Lepisosteus oculatus: one gene and its partners. The protein of the gene in region 1 purifies or fractionates together with the protein of each later gene. This does not show direct contact. Links are inferred from orthologs where the notes say so. Each region holds a gene or a part of one and is shown in the gene's direction. Other genes may lie near its edges.

The links.
Region 2: the proteins of ftsj3 (region 1) and nop2 fractionate together in Homo sapiens (co-fractionation; 3 studies listed by BioGRID and IntAct, with this or other methods). This does not show direct contact. The link is inferred for Lepisosteus oculatus from reciprocal best matches to the Homo sapiens genes FTSJ3 and NOP2.
Region 3: the proteins of ftsj3 (region 1) and nifk fractionate together in Homo sapiens (co-fractionation; 3 studies listed by BioGRID, with this or other methods). This does not show direct contact. The link is inferred for Lepisosteus oculatus from reciprocal best matches to the Homo sapiens genes FTSJ3 and NIFK.

What each region holds. Positions count from the first base shown.
Region 1 is NC_090708.1:19,038,345-19,048,716, reverse strand, and holds the start of ftsj3 (pre-rRNA 2'-O-ribose RNA methyltransferase FTSJ3), read left to right. Parts: upstream 1-6,451; 5' UTR 6,452-6,574; coding exon 6,575-6,641; intron 6,642-7,175; coding exon 7,176-7,281; intron 7,282-8,138; coding exon 8,139-8,185; intron 8,186-8,885; coding exon 8,886-8,965; intron 8,966-9,939; coding exon 9,940-10,039; intron 10,040-10,372. Other genes in the region: lim2.2 (lens intrinsic membrane protein 2.2), read right to left, coding at 195-372.
Region 2 is NC_090718.1:3,595,805-3,605,757, forward strand, and holds the start of nop2 (28S rRNA (cytosine(4447)-C(5))-methyltransferase), read left to right. Parts: upstream 1-5,575; 5' UTR 5,576-5,665; intron 5,666-6,606; exon of another isoform or gene 6,607-6,723; intron 6,724-7,477; 5' UTR 7,478-7,506; coding exon 7,507-7,612; intron 7,613-7,961; coding exon 7,962-8,004; intron 8,005-8,102; coding exon 8,103-8,182; intron 8,183-8,491; coding exon 8,492-8,745; intron 8,746-8,886; coding exon 8,887-9,067; intron 9,068-9,277; coding exon 9,278-9,477; intron 9,478-9,953. Other genes in the region: histone H2B 1/2, read right to left, coding at 3,084-3,458; histone H1.2-like, read right to left, coding at 4,572-5,161, 5,364-5,481. UniProt on the Homo sapiens protein: S-adenosyl-L-methionine-dependent methyltransferase that specifically methylates the C(5) position of cytosine 4447 in 28S rRNA. Required for efficient rRNA processing and 60S ribosomal subunit biogenesis.
Region 3 is NC_090707.1:4,288,595-4,298,935, reverse strand, and holds nifk (MKI67 FHA domain-interacting nucleolar phosphoprotein), read left to right. Parts: upstream 1-6,356; 5' UTR 6,357-6,471; coding exon 6,472-6,588; intron 6,589-6,933; coding exon 6,934-7,062; intron 7,063-8,193; coding exon 8,194-8,302; intron 8,303-8,654; coding exon 8,655-8,866; intron 8,867-9,292; coding exon 9,293-9,358; intron 9,359-9,670; coding exon 9,671-9,811; 3' UTR 9,812-10,080; downstream 10,081-10,341. Other genes in the region: high affinity cGMP-specific 3',5'-cyclic phosphodiesterase 9A, read right to left, coding at 5,009-5,174.

The sequences.
Region 1 (10,372 bases):
TTTCAGATCTTTCATTTCACTTATGTGTGTTACCTGTCTAATTCGTTGACTGTTAACTTATAATACAGTGATCACTAATGATAAAGAATAAGCAGGTATTTACAGCACAGTAAATTCCCCATAATAACTCCTGCATCACAGTTAATAGACTGCTGAACTGACAGACATATGGACAGCTCTCTCCCTTGACTCACCCACTGAAATGGTGTGGGAGTGGCATTTCCGATTTATGCAGAACCTCCAAAGGCCCTGATTGGCTGCGCTTCCAGAGTACCGGTATTGCATCCAGAAGTCTGTTGCTGTGGAAACGATGAGCAGCACCAGGGCAGCTACACCACAGAGTGTGCCCCCGCCTGCCAAAGTGTACAGCATCAAGGTGCAGCGTGGGATAGCACAGTCCTCCCGTTCTCACTGCAACTCACACAGAGAGAGTGTCTATGAGACAGGCAAGATGGACAGGAGCTTTAACAAAACATCAACACAAACCGCAACCACAAAAGTAATCAGGTTGATTTAAAACTTTTTTTCTTTTACAAATTTTTATTTTTAGTTTTTCTTTTTATTTTCTATAAGAATGCAAAGGGAATTGTAGGGAGAATGCTCATGGAGCCAGGACATGAGTTAGGAAGGAAAGCGGAGGAGCACAGGAGTGAAGAGGAGATATAGGGAGTCATGCAGAAATTCAGAATCTCATTCCTACATTCCTATGATCCTATTGATTTATTGACAGCCCCACCTGGGAGGAAGAGTCAGGCTTCCTTGCAGGAGAAAGGTGCTCCCAGAAAATTAACAACAGTCAAGTCCATCTGCTGGGTGTGAGCTCTCTTCAGCTGATTTAAACACATGTTTAATACTCTGGATGAGACCGTAAGCTATAGGACCTAGTCAGGGCATCAGGTAATTGGTACGTTGGCTTGGTAGCCACCTGGTACACAGACACCTGCTCCTCTGATTCTGATCATTCTAGTGTTCACTTGTTTTTCATTTTGTGTTTCTGACCCATCTTGGGATAGCAGGAACATTGAAAATGACTGGTTCTTCACCATTTCCCCTACCCCAATGCCCTGTTGTTCAAAAGCATCTGCAAGAACTAAGATGGCTGCCCTGTGGAAATCACAAGGGATCAGCATCTACAGCCAGTAAAAATGAGAGATGGGCTTATCTCTCGGATAAGGATCTTTCCCAGGACAGTCCAGATCCATTGTCAACACCCCTTAAAGATGGATGTCCACTGCTTGTGCCAGGTTGTCTGGCAGTGGGATAGGCACATCTGGAGATAATCCCAAAAGTCACAGGAAAAGGTCACTCATCCAGCAAGATGACCAATCAATTAGGTTGACTGCAGGATGTGGGTAGCTTCATGATTAATCACCACTTTTTCCCCAGTTAAGAATCAGTGCATCACCCCTAACTGCGTCCCCCTCTCTCTGCAGAATCTACTTGACTCACCGACAGGAGGACCACGTGCCAGCTGCACCTGCTGTCAAAACGTTGGGATTTAAACTTTTTCCCGAAGCGCAGCATGTAAAACCACAATTCTGCCTGAGGTCTAGCCTGCAGCAGGACCGTGCGCCCGCTTGATCGCCGGAGCAATATGGTCGGACTTTTCCGTTGACACGCCTGAATAGAGCATTATTGAGCAGCAGCGAGCAGCCGCTCCGCCTTGAGCAAACCGAGTTTCTCCCCTTTTACTGTGACTCGCCCCGACTCGACCCGACTGAGCAGTGATGTGCACAGACTTTGTCCCAGTTCATCTCAGCGCTAACCCGCACAATCCATATGAGGGAATCGACTGTCAGCGCGATTCTAGAGCAGCTCCCCCTTTCCAGAACTGCCTGGATTAGTACTGGATTGGCGCTGAGCCAAAAAGCACAGTTTGAACGGCGCTGCGACGGACCCAGTCAGCTGTTATCCATCCTTCTGCACGAATTAACATTCCATGTGGATGAATATAAGTGAATATTCACCCTCTCGAGAATAAAATGGTTATATGAATGTGTTAATATCAATTAAATCAATGTACAGTAAGTAGCTGTAGCTACTTAAGAGCGCCTGAATGTTGATTATGTTAGTGAGATTGATAAGAAATTTAGTGTAATCAACGTTATACTGTACTAAACGTAGTATCCTTGTTTTAATGTACCTCTTCGCTTTCACCTTGATATTATGAATACTTTTAAGTACACATTGTTTTTATGTATTGATAAATGTATTCCGTGAGTTGTTCAACCTTATGAAGACTCCTTGTTCTGCCGATTGATTCCTAACAGCCAATTTAAACTCGCGCGATTTACTGTTACAACTAAATATTGTGCCAGTACATTCACAAATTCCCTAGAGCTCACGGATAACTGTGATGGGTGTGCATTCAAGCGTTCGGATATCTAGACATGGTGTTGGTGAGCACAGGGGGAAAAAAAGTTTAAAATCCTTATATTATGAAAAGGGAGTCTGGAATGCAAAGTGATTACAGCTCATCAATGTTTAACTTTTGTTTTTTTCAGATGGAAGTGAGTGTGATGATCCAGCATGACTCTTAAAATCACCACTCCTTACAGCGATTCCTACAAACACCCTGGCCCGGCAGGACATAAGCATTGAAGAGGCGCACAGAATACATGCTAGGGGCCAAGACAGGACCTGAAGAATTGCCGGGAGAGACTCAGCAACCCTGCATTGGATAAAGTGGTTAGGAAATGGATGGACTGTCAGGCAGCTCCCCTGAAAGAAACAGTCAAGCTAGTCCCTGCTTGCAACGGACAGACAAGCTAAAAGAACTGAACCTCTGTAGCCTAGGGATAATGGAACAGGTGTACTCCTATTCAGAATCTTGAGTGGTGTTGCCAAATGGACCAATAGCACCACTTTCAAGTCATTAATGAAACAAGGATTCGAGATACTGAAAATAAGAGAAGGAATATTTAACATTGAGAACAGCTACTGTAGAACTTTTCTAAACAGAGCCTTGACCAAACTAGGGCAAGCCACAGAGCCATGCTATTGAAGCTCAGGGCTGAATCAACAAGCTTGGAAAAAGAAGAGCTTCTCTAATGACTCAGAGACACGTGTTGGTCAATAGTGACTTTCACTAGTTTGGAAAATGCTTAAGGTTTTAAACACCACTGAGTCCACTAATTGTGGTAACTTTAAGTGCCTGAATCCAAAGCAGTTACTACGGTCACTTCAAGGTCTGAACCAATGAAGGAAGGAATTAAGTTGTCACAGGTTTGTGTCTCAAACCTCTCCTCTGTTGGCATCTCCAGCTGCTAGAATTGCACTGGAATTGTGAAAAGACAGACAGACAAGCACACAGAATGTAATGGGCATACCTTTTCGCCTCTCTTTGATCGCCGTCTTGCACCACAGTCGTTATCAGCCAGCCTGCCCAGCTCTATCTATCCTTTTTAAGCCCTGGATCGGGGGCCTTCATTGTTCTGCCGACAATAGTGGGAATGATCGAGCGCACCATGTGAGAGAAGATAATCCCTCTCTTCGCTCCTCTGGTGCTGTCACACCCCTTTCGCCCTGCTTTTCTTCCCTTTTCCATGCCCTCTCTTCCCCTGCAGTCACGGACAGTTTTCTCCCATCTTGCGCTGCCGGGAGGGGGGTCTCTCTCTGCACAGCGTGGCTCCCTCTCTCCTGCGCCCCCCTTTCTTCATGTCCTCGGGCTCCCATTTCCCTCGTCCGCCTCTCAGCCCTGCGCTGGGAGAAACTCGCTGATCAGCCCTGGCATCGCTCGACATCATGGGACTGGCGCTTTTGTGTGAAAGGGCACAACCCCGGGGCGATCACATCAACACCACAGCATTGAGATAATTGCAGCACCTGCCATTCCTGCACCCTGCCTGCGGCCTAACCCCTTGCTTTCTGTCAGCAATTTCATGACATGACCATTAGCAGCCAGCGATCTTTGTACTGCATATTGTGAAGTCATGATGATGACTAAACAGGCTTCGGTGTAGTGGAGACTCACGGCGATTGTGACCATTTTTAATGTTTTTTTTTTTTTTAAACCTTGCATTTGAAAGGGGTTTCAAAATCATCTTCCTGAGATCCACTGCAACTGATGGAATTGAGACATGGTCCACAATTTCACCAGCAAAACAAGTTGCTGCAATCATTTTTACACCCACTCCTTAAAAAGCTCCTTAAAAATGTAAGGCCAATCACTTCCAGCCTTGATAGATCTAATTCTAGCATCAAAAGAGCTTCTATATAAACATAGATGGACACAATTTCTTTTTGTTGTTGACAGGCGTCCCAGAACACGAAGTCTTGCTGTTCATAACCTGATTACTAACTCCAGACTTAGTAAGAATCACTTGTGAGCACTCCATTAATAAATGGCGGAATTCTGTACAGCAAAAATGGGACTTTTGCATGCAGCTAGATTCAAACAACTGCCTTCAAACAACAAGCTGAAGTGGAACTTGACAGGTTTCATCTGTACTCAAAATATGCTTCAAGACTTGCAGCTTACAGGATACAACTAACTCTTTTCAAAGTCTTTCCAGGCCATTAAGAAACACATCCCCTAATACAAACTGCTGAAAATACAGTGAAATGATTGTATAGGCTCCTATGCAAACCATGACAGCCACAGACCACCACTGGTCATTTGTGCTGTTGTATCTGCAAAGTTCAGACCTATAGCTGATCCCTGTGTAAAATGACAGGTACCAACCAAGTGCCTTCTATTTGACATGTGACAATAATATTGCTGTCCAATACACATCACCTACCATCTACCAAGATAATGGACTGAGCTGCATTGTTGAAAAGCCTTTTTTAAATTCAACTTTTTCGGAAACTGATTGACTTGAAACTTGACAAATATCAGCAGCTTCCCCACATGCTTCACTCCAGCTCAACATCAGACTCTCTGACGTTGATACCAAAATGTTGGCATTGCTCCTGTTCAAATCCAGAATAGCCAATTGAACTAAAAATTGATCTTTATCACCTTGTGGTCACTTTAAATTGTTCCGAAAGGGTATCTCTGCATAAACCAAAAAGGCAGACAAGTCTTAAGAATTAAGAATCCCTTTGTTAAATAACACAGTGAACTCCAGCTTTTCCAACCCTCATCTGAGCACCATGGGGTTCAAATTTTCTAAATTGGTGTTGCATTTTAAGAACTGACAACATGGAAATTGATCAGATTAGGTTATCCTAGAACTGTTGCTTAACTCCAAATCCAGGCCAAGGTGTAACCCCATCATCCTTTCCCCCTGGCCTTTACCAATCATGGCCTCCTAATAATCCCCATCTATGAACTGGCTTCCTCCCTACTGTCCTCCTCCCTTTACAATTTTTTATATGTGTGTAAAAATTCTGTTTCTGTAATCTTCACCTCCCATGATTACTCATACTGATGTCTTCTGTGATAGTATCATGAGCATTTCAGTATTAATTTCATGAATCACTGCTTCCCTCTTGTGGTTGTCATTAAATTGAAACAAAGCAGGTTCTCTAAAATACAATAAGTGTTTTTCAATCCTTGTAACCCTGTAGTTCATTGGAAATTATCTCATATTCAATTAAGCTTATTGAAAACGTGAACAACTTGGTTGATTTTTAACTGTTTTCTTTACTCAGAGCTTAGTAGTCATCTACTAAAGCATCTTGTTTGTGTGTGTCATAATAAGTAGAACTATCATAGCGCGTATATCATAGACAGCAGCTACAGTATATCACCCTGCAACTCACAACTGACAACCCATTGAAGCTAAGCAGGTGTAAGCCTGGTCAGTACCTGGATGGGAGACCTCCTGGGAAAAACTAAGGTTGCTGCTGGAAGAGATGTCAGTGGAGCCTGCAGGGGGTGCTCACCCTGTGGTCCTTGTGGGTCCTAATGCCCACAAGGACAGGTACTGTCCTTCAGATGAGATGTAAAACCAAGGTCCTGACTCTCTGTGGTCATTAAAAACCCCAGGGTGTAGCCCCAGTGTCCTGGTCAAATTTCCCATTGCCCCTTACCAATCATGGCCTCCTAATATACCCCTTTATGAATTGGCTTCATCACCCTGCTCTCCTGCATTTTGAGTGTTCTGGTGCACTATGAGCCTGCTGCTGTTGCATCATCCAGGTGGGGCTGTACATTGGTGGTGGTGGAGGGGAGTCCCCATTACCTGTAAAGTGCTTTGAGTGGAGTGTCCAGAAAAGTGCTATATAAGTGTAATCAATTATTATTATTATTATCTGTTTCAACTTGGTTTAAAATTGTTGTTTCACTAAAGCTTTTTAAACAACTCTTAATATTTTTCAATTAATGATGTGCAGATACTGATGGAAAGGACCCTGCCAAACATCTTGTTCTTAGTGCTTCAAGCTCCCATTCAAGGAATTAGCCGTACAGTATGTCTAACGCCTAGCCGAAAATTCTTTTTTTTTAAAGTTCATCGGCAGTCTTTTGATGACGACAACATGAGTGACGCAGAATAGAGGCGCAGTAAGTGCACGTGTTGTTTTCCTTCGGTGGTGGATTGTCGGATGAGAGCTTGTTGGAGTTCGTAGAAATTTCGGACTAGAATATATTTATTTGTCTCTTTAACGCCCCTTCACCGGTGGAGCAATGGGAAAGAAACTTAAAGTCGGAAAGACCAGGAAAGATAAATTCTACCACTTGGCTAAAGAGACGGGTGAGTATGTTTCTGTCTTGTCGGTGGAGGCCGGGAAGACGAGTGTGGCCTCTTTAAGACGGGGTTGTCAGGAGAAGTCGGCTGGTCTGTAATGTATCATGCGAACCGGGCTCTTCTTTAAAATGCCCATCGAATGGCCGTACATTGCGTTTTTCATATATTAAAACAGAATATAGCATAACCACTGTCTACAAATAACGCACTATCTTCCTAATGCTTAGGAAGCTGTTCTGAAATTCTACAGACACCTAAGATAAACAGTTTTCTGTGATCCAGCAGTCTCCGGGAACTATCCGTGCTCCAAATCATTAGTATCAGTCTTACTGGGATTAAGGGCTCATTTGCCTAGGGTTTGATTTTGGGATCATTTAGCTAAGGCGACGAGAGCTGCTGTCTCGCAGGTAAACAGAGATTAGACTGCGTCGCATGCTGTTCTGATGATCTGTCCATGCTGCTGCTGTGTCTGTGTCTGTGTCTGTGTCGTGTGCCCCGTCGGTGTTCCCTCAGAGTCTTAGGCTGTGCTGTTACTTCCAGGTTACCGCTCTCGCTCCTCTTTCAAGCTCATCCAGCTGAACCGCAAGTTCCAGTTCCTGCAGAAAGCTCGGGCGCTGCTGGACCTGTGTGCCGCGCCGGGCGGCTGGTGAGTGTAGCGTGGAACTGGCTCACTTGTGCGTTTAAATGTTCATGGGGGGCGAAGATAGGTGCCCCCTTGAACTTGGGGGGGGGGGGTCATTTGCTTGGGGTCGCTGAAAATAGTAACGGCATAATTGCAACCTTAGGACAAGGAGCATAAGGCCACAGAAATGAGGCAGTAATGTGAATATATTACGAACTAAATGCTCTTGTGCAACATGACAAACCCATGTGCATTTACACAGCAGCTCAGACTTCAGCTTCAGTGTGCCAGGGAGTAGGGAAGTGTGCAGTACCTCTCTAACCTGTCCCATAAAACAAGCCTACACTCGGAGTTTCCTGCTTCAGCTTCTTTACGTGCTGTGTGTGAGGAGATATTGGTGAAGTGGTTGCCTAGTTACATGTCTATTATACATGAGAAATTTCACTGTGTACATTTCTGATGGTGTGGTAATCTCCCAATGAAAAATGTGCTAATTAGTAAAGTGCAGTAAGGGGGTATGTGAAATTCACTTTCACAGTTTGCACTTTTAAGACATTAATTCTGAAGTAAGTTTAGGGTACTGTACTTGTATTTAGTGTGATGTTATTAATTGCCTGTAGTCCCTGGAGCAATGCCCAGTGTTGCTTCCCTTCAGCAGTGATAGTTATCCCTGTGTTCCTGCAGGGTTTATGGGTGATTTATAATCCTCAGTGAGTGAAGACATGGAAACAGTAGTAATTATAGGCTGGTTGAGTGGACTACTGATTATAATGAAGTCATTTAGTGTCCAAGATGGAATGTAGTAGGATTTGCGAATGCATTGCATTATGTGTCTGTGGCGTTGCGTTTTTCTGCTTCTCTCATCTTGTTTCTCTCTGTAGGCTGCAGGTGGCGTCCAAATTCATGCCAGTGTCCAGCCTCATTATTGGTGAGTTCAGCTCTGTTTCTGTGTCTACAAGTGTGGTTTATATGTGTGTTTCTATTCAACAGGATTCATATGCTACCTGCATTTTAACATAATCCAGTCCTGGGATATACTAGAAAAACTGGCATGGTATTATTGGGTCATTGAATGTCATCCATTTTTATTAACTTGTTCCACATTGTACAAGTGTGCGTGTATGACCTCACGTGAGTCACACTGTTTCTGGTTTTCAGTTGGCTCAAAGCCCTGTTACTCAAACATATTCTTGTGCAGGTTGTACTTTATAGCTTTTGTAAAATTTGGGAAAAAAGGCATCTCACATTTTCTTACAGAATGGAGACTTAATATAACATATAACTTAAGCACTTATCATGTTCAGTTAAGAGAACTGTGATCTTTATGGGTTGAGAGGTACTAGGATTGGTCCCAAGTAATCTATAATTTAAACTACCAACTCACTTGATCACATTGCTCTGAGTGTTCAGAGATTGACAATTTAATGGTGATCTATAAAACCTGCTGCATTGGGGCTTTGCAGGACCAGCGCTGGAGAGTCCTGTGTTAATTATTGCTGTAAGCTCATGCACAGCAGCATATGCTGTAGGGCTAATGATCTGTGGAAGAACCACTGTGAGTGTGTCTCCTCCTCTGCCTGACATACTCTTTTCTCTGCTTCTCTTCCTCTCTGCCTCTTGCACTCCAGGTGTGGACTTGGTGCCCATTAAGCCCATCCCCAACGTGGTCACTCTGCAAGAGGATATCACCACTGAGAAATGCCGGCAGGTAGGGAGAGCTTAAAAGAAGTGAAACCCAATGTGACATGACCCTGTGATGTCCGCTGTGCCAGAGGGTGTGTTGGCTAATAAATTCATTCGTAGTTAAGCAAGTGACTGGGGTGTGGTTCGTGCAGTTAGTCCATCAGCTGTGTCGAGAAAGGCCTTTTAAATCTGGAAACTAGCCCAGCGAGGGAGAGAATTTATCTGCCCTGTGGGGGTGTTGGTAGTGTCGTTAATAAAATACTGGCATGCTTGGAATGTTAAATCCCTGAAATTAAAGTTTTAGAAAGTGAAGTGTCCCAACACATGACATTGAACTAGGATTGACAAGAGAGTGCACTTATACCACATTTTACTTAGTCAGATTTTCAGCCTTTTAAGGTATTGATATCAGGCAGTTAACACAGTAGAACTGCTATTTTTTTTAGCTTACTACATTGCTAACAGCCTAGTCACCCAAGAACCATATATTAGGATCTATTTTACATAACAGAGAAAAACATCTCCTGGCAGGGTTTTGAGGTCCATTAGCAGACTTGATCTGTAGATCTTAGCCATTATGTTGTATGGTGAGATTAATATTAAATAAGAATAACTGTTTAACTGTGGAGGTCAGTTGAGAACAAAGTCCAATAAAGACCCAGCCAAGAGGTTCCCAGAAGACAAAGTGACAGAAAGAAAAGAAAGATCAAGATGTGGCCTTAACAAGTGCAGGTGTCAGGCAGGAGAGATTCAGTCCTGCAGAGAAGAAGCTCTCGGGTGTGGCAACCTACTCTCACTGACATCAGGTGGCTCAGCAAGAGTGCTTTCTTGTCAGCCTTTGTTCGGCACCTTTATGCATTTAAACCTTTATGCTGAAGTAAGGGAAATAAACATAATGTGAACGTCTGCGTCATCTCCTGAGAACCCAGGGCGGGGATCCCTGGGGGTTTCCCCTGGCTGCAAGGCTGTCTTCCTCACTGTGGTGTGTCTGCCTGCTAGGCTATCAGGAAGGAGCTCCAGACCTGGAAGGTGGATGTGGTTCTGAATGATGGAGCCCCCAACGTGGGAGCCAACTGGCAACATGATGCCTACTCACAAGGTCAGCGGACTGGCATCGGCACTATTGGTTCTCCGAACACCAGACAAACACACCTGACGCACAGAGACTCGCACCAAAACAGGTGCACAAGCAGACTTGGCATAAAGCTGTCTGTAGAACCAGCATACATGCACACTGTCTTCTTAAGTAACGATAATAAAAAACTTTATTTTGATATAGGGCCTTTAAAGGTGGCTTCACAAAGCACTTTACAGAATGACAACAATAAATTAAAAGAATACAAGATAAAACACAATTACAATATACAGAGGAGACCGTAGATGGTGGTACTAAGAAACGAAGAAGCAGAGGGGTAAAAACTGGAACCAGTTA
Region 2 (9,953 bases), on another chromosome or scaffold:
CGTCTCTGTCTGCTGTCGGACTGTCTGCGGCTCCGCGCGCAGGCGGAACTTCAAGGCCGCATGAGAACCGTGGAGACTCAACCGCTGCTGCTGCTGCAGCTCCGCTCCGCACAGCCCGCTCGCACTTGTGTTTTCTCCCCGCACAAAACTGCCCCGTAATCCTCACAAATACACAGAAACGAGTACAAGAGATGCAAAATGCAGAGGAAACCCCCTGGTCTTTAATATGCAGTTGAGTTACAGGTTTTTCTGTACAGTAATTTTGACAGAATTGCCCAAACTCCAACAACAGAGCTCACGAAAGGCGGTGCTCACCCGGCACTTTGTCGTCTATTTCTAGAATAAATGTACTTAAACCATCAGTAAAGATAAAAACAATGTTTAAATAATACTGCCGAGGCCGACGGTCATGTAACACAATAAAAGTGAATTCTGAATTATTTAAAACGGATGATTTATTTTGCTCTATGTTCAGTGTTATTAACACACTCCCGGACTCGCTGTTTCTAAGAAGGAGACGGACAAGTTTTGTCAAACTAGACCGTTTTATCCCTGTGAAATTCTGAGTATTTCGAGTTTTTTCACCGATACGCTTTTATAAAATGCTGTACACGCGTATTCTGACACTTTGTTTATCTCATAAATTTCCAAATCACTTCCTTCAAAGGCGATTCTTCAACGGGGCTTTAGTAAAGACTGCAACTCTCTACCGTCAATACCAACATTCCTGAAGCTCTTTCTAAACCTGTTACTTCGGATTGCAGTTCCTCCAGATCCTTCAGCATCGTCCCAGCTTCTCGGGAGGAGACAGTTAGCAGAAAGCCCGTGATATTACTGCTCGTACAAGACGGGCAGAAAAAAGCGGATTTTCAAATGCTTAGTTTTATTTTCTTTCATCTGGCTGGTGTGAACGCCCGTCCATTCCCCAGACATTTAAATTAATTAGTTTGTCTCTGGGGCTCACGGTAGGGCTAATACCAATTCAACAGGAACAGGGCACTAGGCTGGAGACATGCAGACTCCATACAGAAGGATTCTTCCATCCCGAATTAAAATCAAGACCTGCGAGGCAGCAGTTTCGGACGCTTTATTTTGAAACTATTAATCTTGATACTATTAATCAAATAGAATATCTACACTAATACTAAAGTATCCACACAGCTGAGTTGAAACAGCCTGAGTTCTTGTACTTAGTTAATTGCCGGTTCTTTTATACACAATTCTCTTTATTTCTTCAGACTGACTCCTGTCTCTTTAATCTCACATTCCACTGCCATGTGGAGGGGGTTTGTTCTCACTGGTTTCTTATTGTTCTCATTAATTCTTCAGTCTTGCTACAGGTTAATTTTGTTACAGTTCGTTACTCATAAACACCAAACTGCTTCAGCTGGTGTGTATATTACATACACCTAACAAGCATTTTTTTTAATCAGCTTTACCCAAAGAGTTGTGGGTGAATGGTGCAAGTTGTCCAAACAAGTCTCTAGACACAACACAATGAGATCTGTGTCTATTAGCGACTATCTACCTATCAATTTACTGTCTTCTATGATTCTATGCTTTCTATGCTAACTGGCTGAAAAGCTTATCAAAAGAACAAGTTCTAACCTGGACCCCCTGGAGGTAGTGGCTGAAAGGAGAATGGTGTCCAAATTAATGGCCATCATGGACAGCGTCTCCCATCCCCTCTATGACATGCTTGTGAGAACGAAGAACACGTTCAGCAGTAGGCTGATCCAACCACATGCGACAGGGGGCGCTACAGGGGGTAATTTCCTGCCTTCTGCCATCAGACTGTGCAACTCCTCCACTGTGTGTCTGGGCAGGGGCAACATTGACCTGTTTTTGGGAATGAAAATGAATTTCTCTGTTTACAGCTGGTTTTCCTCTTTCCAACTGATTTGTGTGCAATATATGCTTTGTGTAATATATTTATAATGTGCAATATATCTTTTTGTATACTGTACATTCTGGTTTGTCTTACATCTCCTGTAATGTGAGCAATTCTATATACTCCATTTTTAAAAAGGTTTTACTGCACTTCTCACTGACTGTACTTACTGTATTGTTGTAATATTGTATCATTCGTTACATTGTCCTGTGGTAACAGTGCCAGTCTGCTGGTGCACTGCAATTTCCCTCAGGGGATTAATAAAGTATCCTGAAGAGAGTTCTGTTGTATATAAGAACAACGTCCTTCTTTCAGATTTGATATAAATCAGTTGCAATGACTACATTCTTTTAACCCCGGTTGCTTCTAAATCAAAAACACAGATTAAGCACAGGCACATCAGTACAAATACGTTGTTTCTTCAGACCTTGGACTGTATATTTTTTCATGCATTCTTGATCTTACCTATATTTCATTCTCTCTCATTTCATAATTACGATATGCATCGGGTTTAAAGAACTGACCTTCTTTAGAGATTTTTAATAAGGGGTAAGAAGTTTTTAGGTCTAAGTGGCTGCAGTAAAGGTCAAGAACCTCTGCTTTCTTTATTATGGGCTTTTTAAGAGAAACGATTCCTTCTCTCCTGCTCCCTCTGCTGGACAGCTGTGGTCTCTGCTCCCTGAGCCTTGTCCTGGTTGAGCTGTAGCCTTACAAACAGGGACATACTTTTCTATCGGACCTGTCCAGCACTTAACTTGGCGAGGTACACTTGAATAATTTGAAACAGCGGTTAGCCGCTTACAGCCACTTGGTCAGAAGAGGAGCTGTGTGTGATTTAAGTCAGGGTGAATTTGAATCGAGCACAGGATACACTTTACACAGAATTGGGGGAAGTAAACAGCAGACTGATGGACAATTTTAACGTTCATCCTAACAAGCTTCTCGAATTTAAGCACATCGGAACGACAAGCGAGAATTATACGATATTGCTTAAAGAACCAAGTGGGAAATGTTTTTTGTTTTTTTTTATTAAATCAATCAAATCCAAGTTATTTTAGTGCCATTGCACTATATTGTCTATTTCCACGGTTTGAAGCAAGAAGGAAGAAATCATGATTGCTCTTTTACGGACTCTGTGGGTGGCTCTTAAAAGAGCCTTTGGGTTCGCTGATCCGGGACGGGCGGGCCGGGTTTACTTGGAGCTGGTGTACTTGGTGACGGCCTTGGTGCCCTCGGACACGGCGTGCTTGGCCAGCTCTCCGGGCAGCAGCAGGCGCACGGCGGTCTGGATCTCCCGGGAGGTGATGGTGGAGCGCTTGTTGTAGTGCGCCAGGCGGGAGGCCTCGCCGGCGATGCGCTCGAAGATGTCGCTGACGAACGAGTTCATGATGCCCATGGCCTTCGACGAGATGCCGGTGTCCGGGTGCACCTGCTTCAGCACCTTGTACACGTAGATGGCGTAGCTCTCCTTCCTGGTCTTTCTGCGCTTTTTGCCGCCCTTCCCGGCCGTCTTGGTCACGGCTTTCTTGGAGCCCTTCTTGGGAGCGGATTTCGCTGGTTCAGGCATCTTCTCAAATTACGTACTGCGTACAAAATGATGAAACTCACGCCTCCTGCAGCCCCCTATTTATAGCGGCTGTATGCAAATCATCTCGCTCAGCTGAGAAGGAGGCTCATTGGTCAGCTAGAGAGCTGCTCTCCTATTGGCTGCGCTCTGCGCCAATGAAATTCAAACGGCTGAGCGCCTGAGCCGCTCGCTCTGACTCCAGGCGCCTCTCTCTCCCCTCCGCCCGAGCACTCAGGAACAAAGGGCCGTGCGATCCGTTTTGCACTACGTGCAGATTTTCTGAAATCCGACTCTCATGCCGTTTATATCCCCTATCCTAGAAAACAATGTGCTTGGCGTAAACTGTGCGATTTGTGCAAACTTGGGAGTCAAAAGCCCGCTCGCTCTGATTCCAAGCTACTAGGACAGCAACTTTGCTGCAGTTTGCGCTCCGAGGTGCACTAACAGCCCTGACCTCTAATTGTGTATTTTGTTTTTAAATCTCACGATTCAGTCGCCTTATATTTTCTCATATTTGTGACTGAGATAGTTCGATCATCATAAGAGCTGATTGTTTTGAAGCAAATCCAAAAGTAATTTAATTTTCATGGGAGAAAAAAGGACCTTTGTTATTGGGGAGTGCGCTTATACACTAACCTATTTTAAAAGATCTTCACTATCAACTCAATAGCGTGTTTTTTTTAAGTAAATAAAATAAACAGTACCAATTCATGTATTAATAGTTTTTATTTAAGGTCTAAAATTAACTATCGTTCCACTGATATGTATTTCTGCTCCGCTAAACGCAGATGGTCTTAACAGCATTAATCTAATTCATATGAAATGCAATCTAGGTACCACTGCAAAGATTTTCCTTTTCACTTTAAAAAATAAAGGCTGATATGCAAACCAACAGTACATCCTTTAAGTGGGACACAATCCTCAATCAAGTCACCTGATATATTTTGTCATACATGTAAGAATTCATCTGCATTTAATTTTTTTTTTTTAATTGTGTGCATGATAAAGGATGTGTAGGGGATAAATACACCGGAACTCTTGAAGTTATCATTTAAAGCTGCTTAGCCCGTTTATTTGTTGATTCACTCATATAAAATCAAAAACCTTTCCGTTTTAACGCCTCTTTTTCGGAGCCGGTTTTCTGGGCGCCTTCTTCGCCGCCCTGCCTTTCACAGCTGGGCTCTTGCCCTTATCAGCGCCTCGCCTGTCTGCGACCTTCGTGGGTTTCTGCCCGGTGGGCACCTTGCCCGCGGCTCCGGCCGGCTTGTTGGTCCTGCCATGACGCCCCGCCGGCTTAGTCTTTGCGGCGGCCTGTCTGTGTCCCTCCGCCCCCCGCTTCGCGGCTTTCCGTGCCCGCTCCGTCGTCGCCGCCGCCGCTGCCGGCTTCGCCCTCCTCTCCCTGGCCGGGTTGAGCGCGAAGGAGCCCGTCGCGCCTCTGCCCCCGGTCTGCACCAGCGTCTCCCGCCGCACCAGGCCCCTGACCGCCGCGGCGACCCGCGTGTCGTTCCTCTCCACGTCGTAGCCGCCGGACGCCAGGACCTTCCTCAGCTCCGCCATGCACAGGCCGCCCCGCTGCTTCGACGCGGCCACCACCCGGAGGATGAGCGCGGAGACGCTGCCGCCGCCGCCGCTCCCTCTCTTCCCGGCCTGGGCGCCAGCCGCCGCCGCCGGCCTCTTGTTCTTCAACCCGCCGACCGCGGTTTCTGGCAAAAAGGAAGTGAGAACGACATTAGGCGAGAGGGCGGTGTCTAGACATCGTTTTCACTCTTTCCAAAACTGCACAGGCGCTGTGACGGAACACCACGGCATCATAATGAATTAAAATGACAGCGAGAGGCGCGGGTGTTTTGTTTATGTCAGCCGTGCTCAGGGGCGGCCGGCTGGGATTGGGGGGGTCACACTGACTGGGCGCGGCGCCGGCGGCCTCCGGGCCTTCGTCCCGCAGCGCCTTCTTGAGCAGCCGGCCGAGGCGCTTGGCTCCGGCCTTGCCGAGTCCCCGGCCGCCCGGCTCCCTCCCGGACATAGTGTTTCTGGAAAAGCGTCAGCCGAACGGACAGAGCCCAGAGCTCCGTTGGCAGACATGGAAATGTCCCGTCGCTCCCAGTGAGGCAGCGCTGCCGCCGGCAACGTCTCTCTCCGTCCGTTAGGGGATTTGTTTCCGAACTGCGGTTGCCTGGCGACGGAGGGTCCCGCGTGCTGGTGCCCAGGTGAGATGTATTTTTCTTTACGCCGGGACACCTGCAGTTGATAACTGCACCCCGAGCCACAGCGCCTACCTGAGGCTTTTGGGAGCCTTAATAATATAACTTTCATAATGCATGAGAGACAAATCAAGACTAAATAAAGACCTATTTCTGACTGTTTATAGAAGCATTTTACCTCTATGTACATGTACACTCTAGGTCTTTATTTTTTTCATTGGGTTTTTCTTTTAAATGATTATTATTAATTATTATTGTTAGTTTCCCGATATGTTCAGTGTCTTGGATTCACTCCACCCTGCTGACCGGAATTTATTTCCTTAGGTTAATTCTTAGTTTCAGGTACAAGAGTTCTGTGGTTTACAACAGCTTGCTACAGCGAACCTTTGTAAATATGTTTGTCTTAATGTTTTTTTTTTGTTTCAGAACCCTAAATTGTAACTCTAACAGATCTTTTCCCACTTTTAATTGAGTGTGCACAGATAGTACAATCCAGGATCATCCAAATAAAGAAAGTTCGTACGTGCCGGCGGTCTCAGTTCTGTTAAAATAACTTAATGACTGAATTTATACTTTTGTGTTCAGTTCAATCTTCTGATCAACGTTGTTGAACAAAGCAGCAGCAAGTTATAACCCCCCAAGTTAGTGAGAGTATCTACGTACGTCTTTTAATCTAATGCATGAAATATTTTTCGTATTAATGTATTTGAAAAACGTGCTGCCTTCAAAACCTTTGCCTATTAATACCCGCCTCGTCTCTTGCCAAAACTGTTAGTTTGAGCTCTTACAAACCACTTCAGCTTATTAATGGCCGGCCTTTGGAGCGCGAGAGGTTAAAAAAAGGCTCTTAATACGTCACGGAGACCCGCTCTATACCGGCGTGTGTTTTGGTAAGCGCTCTGCGTGATGTCATAAAGGATGCGACGGAAATAGCTCTCTCTGCTAAGCGACGGAAACACGTGCCAGTCTTTGCGCACATTTCTCGTTTTCGTTCGTGCTACTACGGCTGCATGTGCCCGGACTTTTAATACTTTAGAGCTGGATGATTCGCCTTTTACAAACCAGTGAGTTTTCTTTTTACTTAAAGATATAAAAAATCGAGGGACACAGGAGGGTGGGGGGAGAGAAATCTTGACTGTGCGGTTAAAGTCCTGTTACGATTGTAAACGGATTCTTGTAAAACTTCAATACGAAATCGAACTATTGAGATGTTTATTTACTACCGCCGTATCCTCGTTAAAACATTAAGTGAAACGATAGTAGTAAAGAAGAAGTGTTAAGACATAGAAAAGGTAAGGTAATAAAAAAAAACCCTGCCCCGATCAAATTTAACTTAGTGGCCTGTAGATTGATTAGTGATCGGAGGAGGATTTCTTTAAAAACGCTATGGAAATGTGTTCGCTTTTAGTCAGCAACTAAAATTAAAACGAAGTACTGTTACTAGAAGCTGAAGTACTAGTACCCCGTGAAATTGTGATAGAGGTAAACCAGATTCCTATCGTGCAGCGGTTTCATCACAGTAGCCTGCAACCTATCAAATGTGAAATGTTGTTGGTATTTTAATAATTGATTTAGACATCTGATATCGCTTTGCTTTTTCTTGTAGATTGCAGGTTTGTAGACGTTCTAGTTATTTCTCTCTGAACTACATCTGTTAAACAGTGTTTTCTTTTTCTTAACCAGACGGATTTTATTTGTAAGAAATATCAAGCCATGCGAATCTGTAGGATTTCCAGTATTCGAAGTTTTGCTTTGCAGGATCTGTCATGTTACGTTCGAGATCATATGTCTAAATTCATTTTATTTTCGTTTGTATAGGCTGTGATTGGTTAATTTAGAGGTCAGTCATGGGGCGGAAGTTAGATCCCACCAATAAGCAGAAGCGAGGGCCAGGACGAAAGGCCAGAAAGCAGAAGGGTGCAGAGACAGAGATTCCCAACTTCTTGCTGGAGGGTAAGCAGCCATCCTGATCATTATGACTGTGATGTACTGGGTGGACTAACATGAGCTCCACCTGCTTAGACTCCCACTGACAGAGCAGGCTGGACTGGACTGACTGGACTGGGAGCTGGATGAGTTCTTTACTGGGATTATAATCAGACTCACACTGACACTGACAGAGCAGTCTGAGACTCTCCAGGCTGGACTGGACTGACTGGACTGTGAACTGGCTCAATTGTTAACATATTACTCTACCAGTATTAGTATTATTATGTCAGAGTCACTTCAGTGTGAGATGTGAGACAGTTGTTTTAAATAAAATAATCACTAATATAATTTGAAAATGTGTTCCCTTTTTTAGGTGATAGTGCGTCTAAAAGACTTGGAAGCAGAGCAAGGAAACGGTAGGAAATATCATCACCACTACTGTTCTTGGTATTTTAAATTGCTGTTCCCCTGCTTCTTGCAAGTTGTGATTGTTGCTATTGTTACTTCTCCATAGTGCTGTGAAGCGTTCTGTTCCCACCTCCCAGCCTAAGAAGCCTGAAAAATCAGAAATAGAACCAAAACAGACAAAGAAAGGTAATCAAATCTTAATGCTTAAAACAATGTCTGCTGAATAAACAAAATGTATTAGTTGTGTTTCTAGGGTCTATATTAGGGTCTGTATGAATCTCTGTGTGTGAGGAGTGTCTCTAGGGTCTATAGTAGGCTCTGTATTATTCTCTGTGTGTGAGGTGTGTCTCTAGGGTCTATAGTAGGCTCTGTATTAATCTGTGTGTGTGAGGTGTGTCTCTAGGGTCTATAGTAGGCTCTGTATTATTCTCTGTGTGTGAGGTGTGTCTCTAGGGTCTATAGTAGGGTCTGTATTAATCAATTTGACTTACTCAGGCTTCAGCGATGAGAACAGCGAGTGGTTGAAGCCAGCGAAGCGGAAGCGTCCCGTGGCTCAGTCCGACAGCGAGTGCGATTCGGAGGCTGAGGAAGAGGAGGTGCAGGAAGGGAGCGAGGGAGAAGCCCGGGAGGAGGACGTGGGCGCGGGAGGGGAGGAGGAAGCTGAGACGGATGACGATGAGATGGTAGACGACTACGGAGTGGCGGAGGACAGCGATGAGGGAGAGGAAGAAGGCAGCGACGGGGAGGAGGTATAAGCCTGCCTGGTGTTCTCCCTTTAAGATTGGTTAGAAGTTAACAGTGGAGGTGAAGAGTTTACTTCTTTGGTTTGCAGGCACTGATGTCTTATTTTATAATAAGACATTGTCTCTCTTCCTGCTGTGCCCCCCCAGTTGCTGCCGATCGAGAGAGCGGCAAAGAAGCAGAAGAAGTTGGAGAGGGAGCTGGAGGAGGACAGCGAGGAAGAGGAGGATGAGGAGGAGGAGACGGGGAGCGAGGGTGACGCCCCACTTGCGGCTGCCGACGAGATGGAGAAGTTCCAGCTGCCCACTTCAGAGGAGAGAGCGAGAGAGGGTGGGCCTGCTTCCTTTGGGGGGGGGAGAAAGCCGGATTTCAGATCATTTTTCTCCATTCCCCTAGCAACAGCCTCCGTTTGGCTGTCGGGAATTGCCCAGCTGATTTTGGATTTGAAATAGCTGTATGATTTTTTTTTTTAATTCGCTCATCCTTAACTGCTGGTTAACCCTCACCCCCTGTCCCTTTTCTCCGTGCTCTCCCACTCAGGCCTGCTGCCCCTGGACCTGCAGTCCATCCACCAGCGGATTAAGGACAACGTCGACGTCCTGGGACACTTCAGCGCCAAGCGGGAGGAGGGGAGGGAGAGGGGGGAGTACGTGGCCCTCCTCAAGCAGGATCTGGCCATGTACTACAGCTACAACACCTACCTCATCGAGCAGATCATGGACCTCTTCCCCCCTGCGGAGGTCAGTGCCCATGGGGAATTGAAGGGTCTGGCTGTGGGATCTGCTGAGCTGAGGGGGCCCGTTTTTTTCAGCTTGGGTTCAACCAGCCGCTGGCCTTCCGCCTACCAGACCCCCATCCTGCCTGTGGAATTGGGGGCTGGCGAATGAGTAAGCAGACGGGAAGTACGAGCCTCATCGCACGAGGCAGACCCTTGCGCTGCCTGCCGAGGTGTCACGGCGCTGTCCGCCGTTCGCGAAACGGGCTCCATTTCGGCTCTAGGGAACATCTCAAAGTCACATGTAAATGGTTGAAAGAGCAGAGCCAAGATGGCTGACAAGGCGCATGCTCTGTTCAAGTTCACGTTTATTTGTCATTCCAGCCGTATACAAGTATACAGTGGAACGAAATATCGTTCCTCCTGGTCCACGGTGCAAATACAGACAGGACACTGACATAGATATTGTAGACAGGACCCACATAGTGCGAATTACAAGGT
Region 3 (10,341 bases), on another chromosome or scaffold:
TGATTCATTAAGAGGAGACTGTATATACTGTATTAGTCCTGGTGTATAAAGTATTACTGCATTTGAGTGTAGTATTAAACATTTAAAGTCAATTGAGATATATGCTTCCTAGTTTCATCTTCATGTCAGAGAATGATTCATGATGAAATATTTGTAAAGGTAAAGAGGTTAGCGATATGAACTTATATGAACTCATTAGGTTTTTAAAGCAGGAAACTGATAAACAGCCTATTGGCAATAACAGAGGATAAATGCAGTTGGTAGCTACCTTTTCTGATATCCAGTCCTGCCCTGACATTTCCTTCTATTCACAACAGAGCCCTCCTGGGGATCGCTTGGTTTCCAGGCTAGCTCATAATGAGCTTAACCACACCGAATTAATTCATTACAGCCACTAGTATTTCACCTGCCAAATTACTAAGACCTTTACTGATTAAGAAATATGAGTATGGAGAACAAAAGAAAATGCCTTAAACCCTAGAGCTGGCAAAGGCTTCAAGAAGAATATTTTAGGGCAGCATCATGTCCCTAATGGAGTTCGGGGGTTTCTTCCTACTTAAAGCAGGGTGTCAATAATGTCAGAGTGTCAAATGCTGGAAACAGGCAGAGGACACTGGGGACAGACTGAGGACACTGGGGACATTATACTGTTTGTCCCTCCAGGTGAAGGTAGAAGAAGGGCTGGGGTATAAGAGTCCCATCTTATAACCCTGTATTTCCAGCTTTAATGTCTACATCTAGATATACTGTATATCTATTTCTACGGTGCTTTGCAAATAAATTCAGATCCTTTCACAGCTCCACATTGCTTTAAAGGGTGACACTTTGAAGTAGCAAATGATAGCTGTTTTGTTCACAACCTGCACCAAACATTCAAAGCAAAACAAACAGAAAAAAAGTAAATAATGTAGATAAAATAAAAATGGAAATTTCACGACTGCATAAGTTTTTAAATCCTTTACAACAAAGCATATACTGTAAGTGAGAATCAGTGCAAAGAAATATTGAGTTCATAGCTCTGAATCATTATACAATCATCATATTGCAGTTTTTAATAAAATACTAAAGATTAAAAATGTGTAGGCATATTATTGTTATTTTCACATTTGTCATGATGTTAATCCTAACATTTTAATGGAAGCGACGGGAAAATGTTTCCTTCCTTTTACAGTAGGTATTTAAAGGGTTCATTACTTTTGAATGGGGAAGTACCTTTTTATATTCCAAATGGCAGAACAATGTGAATATAGAAAACAAGTATTCGACCAGTTTAAACCGCCTCTGAATGCTGAAAACTGGCAAAATGAAAGACAGTAAAAAAATCTGTTGCCAGTTGACTGGCCTTCCCACTTCATCTGCATCACTTCTTTGTGGGTATACTAGGACATGAAAAAAAAAAGTCTCTTTTATAAAAAATGTATGACAGATTGTTCAGGTGGACCAAGAAAAAATAATGTGCTTTTATTGAATTTTCCATCAATTAGTGCCACGTAAAAACACAGCAGGGACAATTCAGAAAGATTGAAATAGAATAATGTTCAGAAAGGAAGATAAGAACCTTAGAATAAACACAGCCATTTTTACACTACTCCCTTCCATCCTAACAGCTGTGCTATGGTAAATAAAAGGATTCTTTCTACAACCTGCATTCAAACCTTCTTGGGCAAACTCCAGACAATGCTGTTCACATGGATCATATTGAGAAGCTATACATAGCGCGTCCAATAATTGCTATCAAAAGGCAGGTACTGCTGTGTTTGACAGGAACACTCAACAGCAAATAGGTAACATTCATACTTTCATGTATGTATGGGTTGAATGTATTCATCCAGACCTGTGAACACAAATATGTTTTTCAGCACAAGCTACATGTCCTAGGAATTTCAGCACACGATGTGCCATTTTAGCAGAGCTATTCTTAGATTTTACAACAAGAGAGTACCGTCGCAAACTAAAGCCTTTTTACAAATTACATTAAAACTGAGACTAAACACAAAAAAGTGGTTTCTCTAAATTTCAGTGTTGCAGCTGAAAGATACAAAAGATTTAATGTCACAACAAAACACTACAAAATGTGCTGAAAACAAATAAAATAGAGAGACGATAAATCCATGCTAGGACAGAAGTATTTGGGAAGCTGTCCACACTCTTTGCTTCCTGGACCACTGGTGGTCTTCCTTGTGTTTTATACCAGTTCTTCGCATCTTTCTGAGGATGTGTTAGGCATCTTTGTAACAGCAGCCCTGGGGATGTACAGTTAAGTGGCCAATCCATAACTCAAATCTTTTTTCAGAAATGTCTTTGAAGACCTTGCAGAAGACTTGGGTTAATTATCCTGCTGGAGTAGGAACTCCAGCCCAATTATTAAGCTCTTGTGGCTCTAGATAACACCCCACAGTGCAAAACACCTCGTTATTTTGTTGCATTAATTGATGTCTCTATTATACAAAGGCCAGCCTTGCCTGTGGAAAAAAAGCAGATGTGTACTCCACTATGTTTTCAACAATAGGCGTGACAACCTTTCTCTTTGTTTCACCTCCCTGAACACAGTTTCTGTCTTAGTGAAAAACAAAATCTGTTCAGACCCTGAAATCTTGCTTCTTCAAAGTCAAATGCTTTGCGGTTTTATGTTGCCTCCTTGCTTTCTCATATGGTCTTTCATCTTGTTAAAGATTTGTTCTCTCACAGGTTTCTCATGGTAAAATGCCGGCCCATCTACCTAGGGAATTTAGCTCTGTTCTAACCGCTGTTTACATCCAACCACAAGCAAATGCTGAGGCGGCGCTTGGTGAACTGTACAGCGTGATAAACACAAACACGAAAGTTTGAAGCCCGATGCCGCATTGATCTTTATGGGGGCCTGCAATCTCGGGAAAGTTTTGCCAAAATTTCACCACGGCGACCAGAGGCTATAACACCCTCGACCACTGTCACATAACCAATAAAAGGGGCATATCAAGCTGCGCTCTGACCACTTAAAGTTACAGTTTAGGATAAATAACCTTGCAAATCAGCTGGTTCACAGTCTTTGTCAAGCAGTCTTAGCTGGGCTCTGGGCCACACTGAACCAGCCTGACTGCATGTCCTCCTGTGTTCATCTCCCCCATCTTAACGTATTGTTAAGCATAGAGATTCTTTTTAGACTTCTGCGTCTCACTGAAAGCTCTTTAGCAGAAGAGGTTTATTTCTATTAATGTAAGGCAGATGTTGCAATTGACTAAACTCTTGAGAAACCTGAGGGCAGTGGGTCATCATAACTGAATGTTCTTTCTGGGGTTGTTAAAATTAGTCATCTTATCAACAATAGATCACAGGAAGAGAAGTGTTAACTACTATAGTAGTAACACTCGAAGAAGATGAAACATTGTGTCTCTTTGCTTTTTAGGATGAAATAGACCGTTACTTGTTCCTTTATAGTATTAACTATGCCCATCACAGGAGATCACATATATCAGACTTTGAAAAGGTTGCTGGGAAGGAGAAAGAGTGACTAACACAGAGCTTTGACAATATTGGCTTCGGTCATGAGAGTTATTTTTAAATAAGGTGCAAATATTGTCAGCACATTTGAGATCACACTCTCTGTTGCATCTGTAAAACATTTTTCAGTACTGGGTTTGTGCCTAGATATGCCCAAAAATGTTGTTTCCTCCCACCATATTTCTCTTTATGTGGAAGAAAAAAGGTTGAGTCTAAAAGCTCAGGATACCATATGTTGCTTCTCTCCTTATGCTCTTCAATTAAATACCTCTCTGTCAAAAACACCTGTGTCTCTGTTTAAAAGGGAAAAGCAATCTGAGAAGGGATTTCATTTTAAAAATTCAGATATTGATGTTTTTTCTTAGCATCCATATTGACAGAAATATGATTTTTCACAAGTCAATATTTTTTACAGTTTGATTGAACCTGACAATAGGCAAATTTTACCTAAAGCGTCTTAAAAGGAAAAAAGCAAAAAGGCCTAAAGTAATTTCCATACTTTAAAATCTTTTAAAAACCCATAAAGGCCATTCTGTTCAGTAGTCCCCCACTGTAGAATCCTGTGCTGCTTCACTGGATATTTTAATCGATACATTGTTTAGTTTGGCTTGAGGTAAGCCCGTACCATGCAGAAAACATGGTTTGATTTCGAATTCAGGTTAATTGCCCGTTGCTGGGTTTTGTTTATGGGGTTGACACTGTAATTTGGAACAAAGTTTATAAATTATTTATTTTTGTAAACCAACAGTAACGTTAACTTGTGTTCCAGAGCTCAAGAAAATTTCGTGTCCAGATAAGATATTTAACATACAAATGATACTCAAGCAGGTACCCAGTGTCTGGCCACTGTGCTATACCCTCCCACTGGTTGAGTAGTCTATATTGTGTAGATTCAGTGGCCTCTAAATTCTGCTTCAGGTGTTTCCAATCGCTTCCTTCCAGTTTTCTTCTTATATTTCGCTTTTAGCTACTCTATCAGACTTCCACTATCTGTAATGGATGATCTCTAAAAATTAATAATGTGTACTGCTGTAGTAGAGAATGATACATTTGCAAAACTATTCGCAATTCGCAACACTGGTGAAATTGTGTTTATATCCGGTAATATTCAATTAAACGGGAAAAACCCGAGAAGACAGAACTGCTTTAGAGAATATGTCAGTACATCCACGTATTAGCCCCATTTTCTCAACTTTTTAAGATCTATATGTTCATCAAATATTGCTTTTATTAAATATCTTTAAAATACCAAAACTCCATTACAATTAAAAGCTCGTGATCACGTCAACGTGATGAAAGTTAAGAAATCATGAGAGAGCCAAAATATGTATTAAAAGTTAACACTTTTAAAAAAAATATATATATATCGTGTTAAAATAAACAAGCAAAAAAATTAGGCAACGCATTTTTCAGTTGCTGTAGCCGTTGGCTTGTCAAGTAAATCAAACATATTTTTAACTAATCGCTTTAAAATGCTGTGTGGGAACAGTTCGTTTCGCCGTAGACGAGTCTCATGCACTTACTGTACCTTTCACATCTTGTGCAGGACAGTCTTCTCGGAACTCAGCCTGCTCTGCTCTCCCGTTCACCGTGAAATAAATGATTTTTGCTGCCATTTGAAGAAAACAGCTTTGCGGGTGGGAATCATTCGCTCTCCGGTTCCACTGCGAACTGCTGTTGAAGACTTCAAGCATCACGTTTAAACGAGGGACACCTCTGTCCTCTCTCTCTCTCTCTGTTTCCAAAACACAGTCTGCATCTTCTGCAGTTTTCTTTTCAATGAAAAGATCTCCCCTCCCACCAGAAGCTGCTGCTGGATCTGGGCAGCTTCTGCAAACGTATTATTATAGTATTCCTTAAACACAACACAGTGAGCAAGCACAGTGCCATGCACAGCTGCTGCAATGCAGGTGACGAAGTTAGGTGATACCCCATAACCCCTAATCCCTAACACGTAACTACTAACCCCTAACCCTAAACCAGAGAAAATTAAATTCTACATTCTTAGCGATAAAAGAGTTCAGCACTGGAACTCAAAATCACAAGTAAAAGCAATTAAACTTAACACCAACCCTCCAAAAGTAACCTTAACATCCCCTCCAAACCTCATCCCTTTTCCCAGGTCAGCGGATACTGGAATGAGAGGGCAGGGGACTCAGAGCTACAGAAGCAGTATCAACCATAAACCATAACTACTGAGGCAACCTGTAGCCGGCGCCTGGTCACTGCCAGACGAACTCGAGACATTGCTTCATCAGTAGCAGGGGCCCGAACAGAACTGGTGCCAAAGCAATAGGGGCACCTCGACCAGTCGCCACTCATTTCCACAGAAATTGACTCCCTCATAGCCCAGGTATTCCTAACCCCAATCCTTCTCAAACGGAGGAGGGCATGAACTCTACCCACAACCCAGCATTAAATCTGAATCTGACCTAAACGCAGGTGGCACACAAACTTTAATCCAGCTACACTGGGGTGAAACAGGAAGGGCATGGTGTGGCTCAACACCAGTCAACCAATATTCTAGACTAAGTGTCAGAGAAACCACCGAGGGGGAGAAGAATAGGTCACTCCAGCACAGTAATCGGAAACTAAGGCGAGTGCAGGAAAACATTTGTTCAAATAAACGAGCAAAAAAACTATGCAACACATTTTTCAGTTGCTGTACCCGCTGGTTTGTCAAGTAAATAAAATCTTTATTTAAAAAAATCGGGTTTAAAATGTTGTGTGGGAACAGTTCATTTCGCCGTAGACGAGTCTCATGCATTTACAGTGCCTTTCACAGCTTGCCGCTGAAGACCTTAATCCTCCCTGTAGACAGGGGGCGCTAAAGAAGAAGAAAGTGTCGTTTCCCCCCAAGTTGCTCTATTCAGTTCTTGCTTTCTCTGGTACGAAGTGCAAAGAAACAACGTGGTTGTGGTGCTGCATTGAGTGGAGGAATAGGAGGAAAATAGTCCGCTTTAAAGAAAAGGTTGATCATTTTCGTCGACGATGACAGAAGGCAGCTCGGCCCCTGCTCCAGCCGCCCGGAACCTGCTCGCTCTGAACCCGAGCGAAGAGGCTGAATTTAAGAACAAAGTGCGAGAAGTGAAAAAGCGATCTAAGAAAGTAAGCGAACTCCAACCATCAAAGAAACAGAGCGTGTAAATTAAAAGGTCGAGATCAGATCAATCTGTATGTAATCGAGCGTTTTAAACTTTACGGTGTAGCCAAGGAAGTCATCGAGGTCGAAATGCGCTTTAATATTTCGAAATAAAATTGTGCGGGTGCTGTTCGGGGCATGTGTGACATGAAGGCGAGGAGGAACACAGTAGCAGCCTACGTGTGGCGTCATGTTACTGAAGCGAGAGCATTCCCTTTAAAATGTGAAGTTATCCGCCTCTAATGTGGGCTTTTTTTGTTAAGAGTTGTGTTTGTTGTTTCCTTCACTTTCTTCCTGATTCATTTCGGCAGCATGAGAGGCTGACCCCAGGTGTGATTTACCTCGGCCACATCCCCAATGGGTTCTTCGAGCCTCAGATCCGACAGTACTTCTCCCAGTTTGGCAAAGTTCAAAGGTTACGACTGTCCAGGAGTAAAAAGGTGGGACGTTTTAGATTACAGATGTGGGTTCCGTTATATAGGCATTTCCAGAGTTCTTGCATTGCAGTGCTGTTATTAAGCTTAACAGATGCCCTTATACAGGAGAACTTACAAAATATACGCTAATACGTAAAGTAAATACGGAAAAATCAGATACTGTTGCAAAGTAAAACCGTTTCATAGTTCCATAATGAATTGTCATCTGTAATCTCTAATATATTAGTTGTTAAGGTTTTCTTTTGTTTTATGCAGTTACTGCATCAGTTAATGTCCCTGTATGTTTGTGGTCTTGCTTGAGAATATCTACGCATTTACTTTTGCAATTTGGTAATGAACAAAATTAAATTTCTGTAAATGTTTAGTGTCGTTGGAGCCGTGGTAGCTCCTGACCGGAAGGTCCCGGGTTCGATCCCAGGGAGGGGCAAGCGATGGAGCTCTGATTCCTTCCAGACGGCTCCCAGGTCCACTCAGCCTGCTTTCCACATGAGTACCAGACTGGGGGTTAATCCTTCTGGGGGTAATAGACCCGCCGGAGCGTGGTGCTGACCACATCGCCTCCACCTCCAGTGTGGGATGATTGAGAACAATGGTGGCCCTTGCCCCCACATTCCCCATGGGCCTGGATGGCCTGAAAAGGGGACCTAACCTACCTACCTTTAGTGTCACTATTGGTCATTTAACAGAACATTTTAGTCCTTTAGCAAATGCAATAGCTTTTATGCATAACAACTATTCCTTCGAAAAGGAGCACTCTTAGATTATAAGGAGCAGAGAGTGTATTTTTCAAACTGCCATTGTGAAATGAATGTTTCAATCAACTCTTCGTCCTTAAAGCATGTGAAGCTATTTAACCTATTACTCTTCTCAGTGTTCTTAATAAGGGAACAAGAAAAATCATTCTTCTTCAATATACTGATTAAGGCGTGTGTGATCGAAAGATATCCATTAATTGGGCCAAAGAGCGCAACGGGGGTTCTGATGTGGGAAAACAAATGTGTGCTTTCTGACTTCATGTCTGTCCCTCGATCAGAATACATTTCTGCAAAGCACATGGACAAAAGGATTTTAAATGCAATTTTAAAATCCTTGCATCTGCTTGCTTTATTCATTCACCTTGTTCTTGGTTTTCAGACAGGTGGCAGCAAGGGCTATGCGTTTGTGGAATTTGAGTGCGACGAAGTGGCTAAGATAGTGGCAGATACGATGAACAATTATCTCCTGCGTGAAAGGCTCATAAAATGTAAGTAAGGGAGGGATGAAGTGTGTTTCTGGAACACTTGCGGTGATTGTGTAATGTGTATGTCCGAAAATCTCTCTTTTAAGAACAGAATTTTCTGAAAAGTCTTGACTTCTGTCCTTTTAGCCTGGGAAGTGCTAGATTATAGAAAGGCGGCGGTGTCCTTTTGGTGCCAGTTCCATTTTTCTTACATCAGTTCGGTCTCACCAGTGTGACTGGTTATTGTGGGAGCTCTGGTTGAGTTTGAGGGGGGAGCACAAAGAGATGGTTTGTTTGTTTTTTATCCACATAGAAATCACTCAGGACCGTTCCACGCACGGAGTCGGGGTGAACTTCTCTGTGCCTTGCTCCGCAGGTCACGTTATCCCACCCGAAAAGGTGAAGCCGGAGCTTTTCAAAGGAAGTCAGACTCCGTTTAAGAAGCCCTCGCGCCCGGCGGTCGGCCGCTACAACAGGAAGCGCACACCTCGGCAGAAGGCGCAGATGACCAGCAGACTTTTACAAAAGGAAGCAGGTTTAAGAAAAAGGCTGGCAGAGAAAGGAATAGATTATGATTTCCCGGGATTTGTAAGTCCGCTTAAAACTGCCTGAATAGCTCTATAATAAGGGTACTGCCTGTGCGGTGGTATAGTCCTAAAAACGTTCCTTGCAAAGTCTTCTCAACAGATTATTTTCCTTTTTTCTTGCTGTCTGTCTGTAGAATAAAAACGTCATCTCTGAATATAATTATCTACACTACTCGTGCAACTTTTTGGGGCCCTTTAGCATAACTCGTCTGTTAAAAAGTGATATTTAATTGCTGCTTTTCTAGTTGTTTTTAACTAAACAGGGCCTTTGTCACTGAGCTAATGCAGGGGTGTGTGGCTATCGCTTAACTCTGCTTCATCATGAAAGGGTTCTCAGAAGTTGAAATAACTGTACTGTGCTCTTAATATTTCTGAATGGTATTTTGTAAATGGCTTCATAATGTATGTTTTTTTTTTCTTTTTTTAGTCTGCCCAAGTATCCAAAAAGAAGAAGACCTCTGCAGAGAATTCGGCCTCCATGACTGACAGTCTAGTATGTTGTATTAATGTGTCTTTTAAAACACGTATTGTAAAACGAGTAGGAAACATGCAAAGCTGTACAATTTAACTCTGAGACTTGCATGTATGATTCAGTCAACCAACTCAAGGCACCATAATATGAGCCCTTAAGATTGCAAAAGGTTTCTTCTCCCCGCATAGTGACAGGGAAGATTATAAGATCTAACCTGTTATCAATTTTGGTGTGTTCTCTGTGACTTTTCCCTGCAACAAATTATTAATGTTCAAAGGGCATCCTGTTAGGAAGCTTTGTACTCAGCGTGTGTCTTTTTCTTTGTGTCTGTAGGATGTCACGCCAGTCTGCACACCAACTGTGTTGGAGAAAAGAAAGTCAATGAAAGTGGAGGACAGCGATGGTGATGATGAAATTATAATCAAGGCCACACCTGCACCAAAGAAGTCAAAAGGCAAAAAGAAGACGCGGTAATGAGGAACTAAAAATGGACTAATTTGGGCAATATTCAATCTTTAACCTGCTGTGGAAGTAAAAGATCTTCCCTTAAACTCTGTTTTTTAAATTGTTCCTGCAGGAGTGACTGATATTCCGCAAACAGGAAAGGAAGAAACCTTTAGAATTCATTTACTTCTCGTACTGTATTATAGTAGAACAGTACAAATCACTTTGCCTTCATATTGTACAATTTGTATTCTTGTGAATGCTAGCAGTTGTATTATAAATATATGAGTTGTAATCAGGAGTGTACCAGTTACCCTTTTTCTTATCCTTTCCTCTTTAAGAATAATTTAAATGATGGTTTGAGCTTCTAGCATTCCAGCATAGTGGAAGTAACTACAGGAAATGGTTAAAAAATGGAAACACAAATATGGAGTAAGTTGACAGGGTGTTTGGTCACCACATGAGGCCAGTACAACCTGTCTGGGTTGTGGCATTAGAGTCTTCCAGCACCTTGAGTTCTGCACCATTCTGCCACAAGAAAGTCCTTCAGCTCATACCTG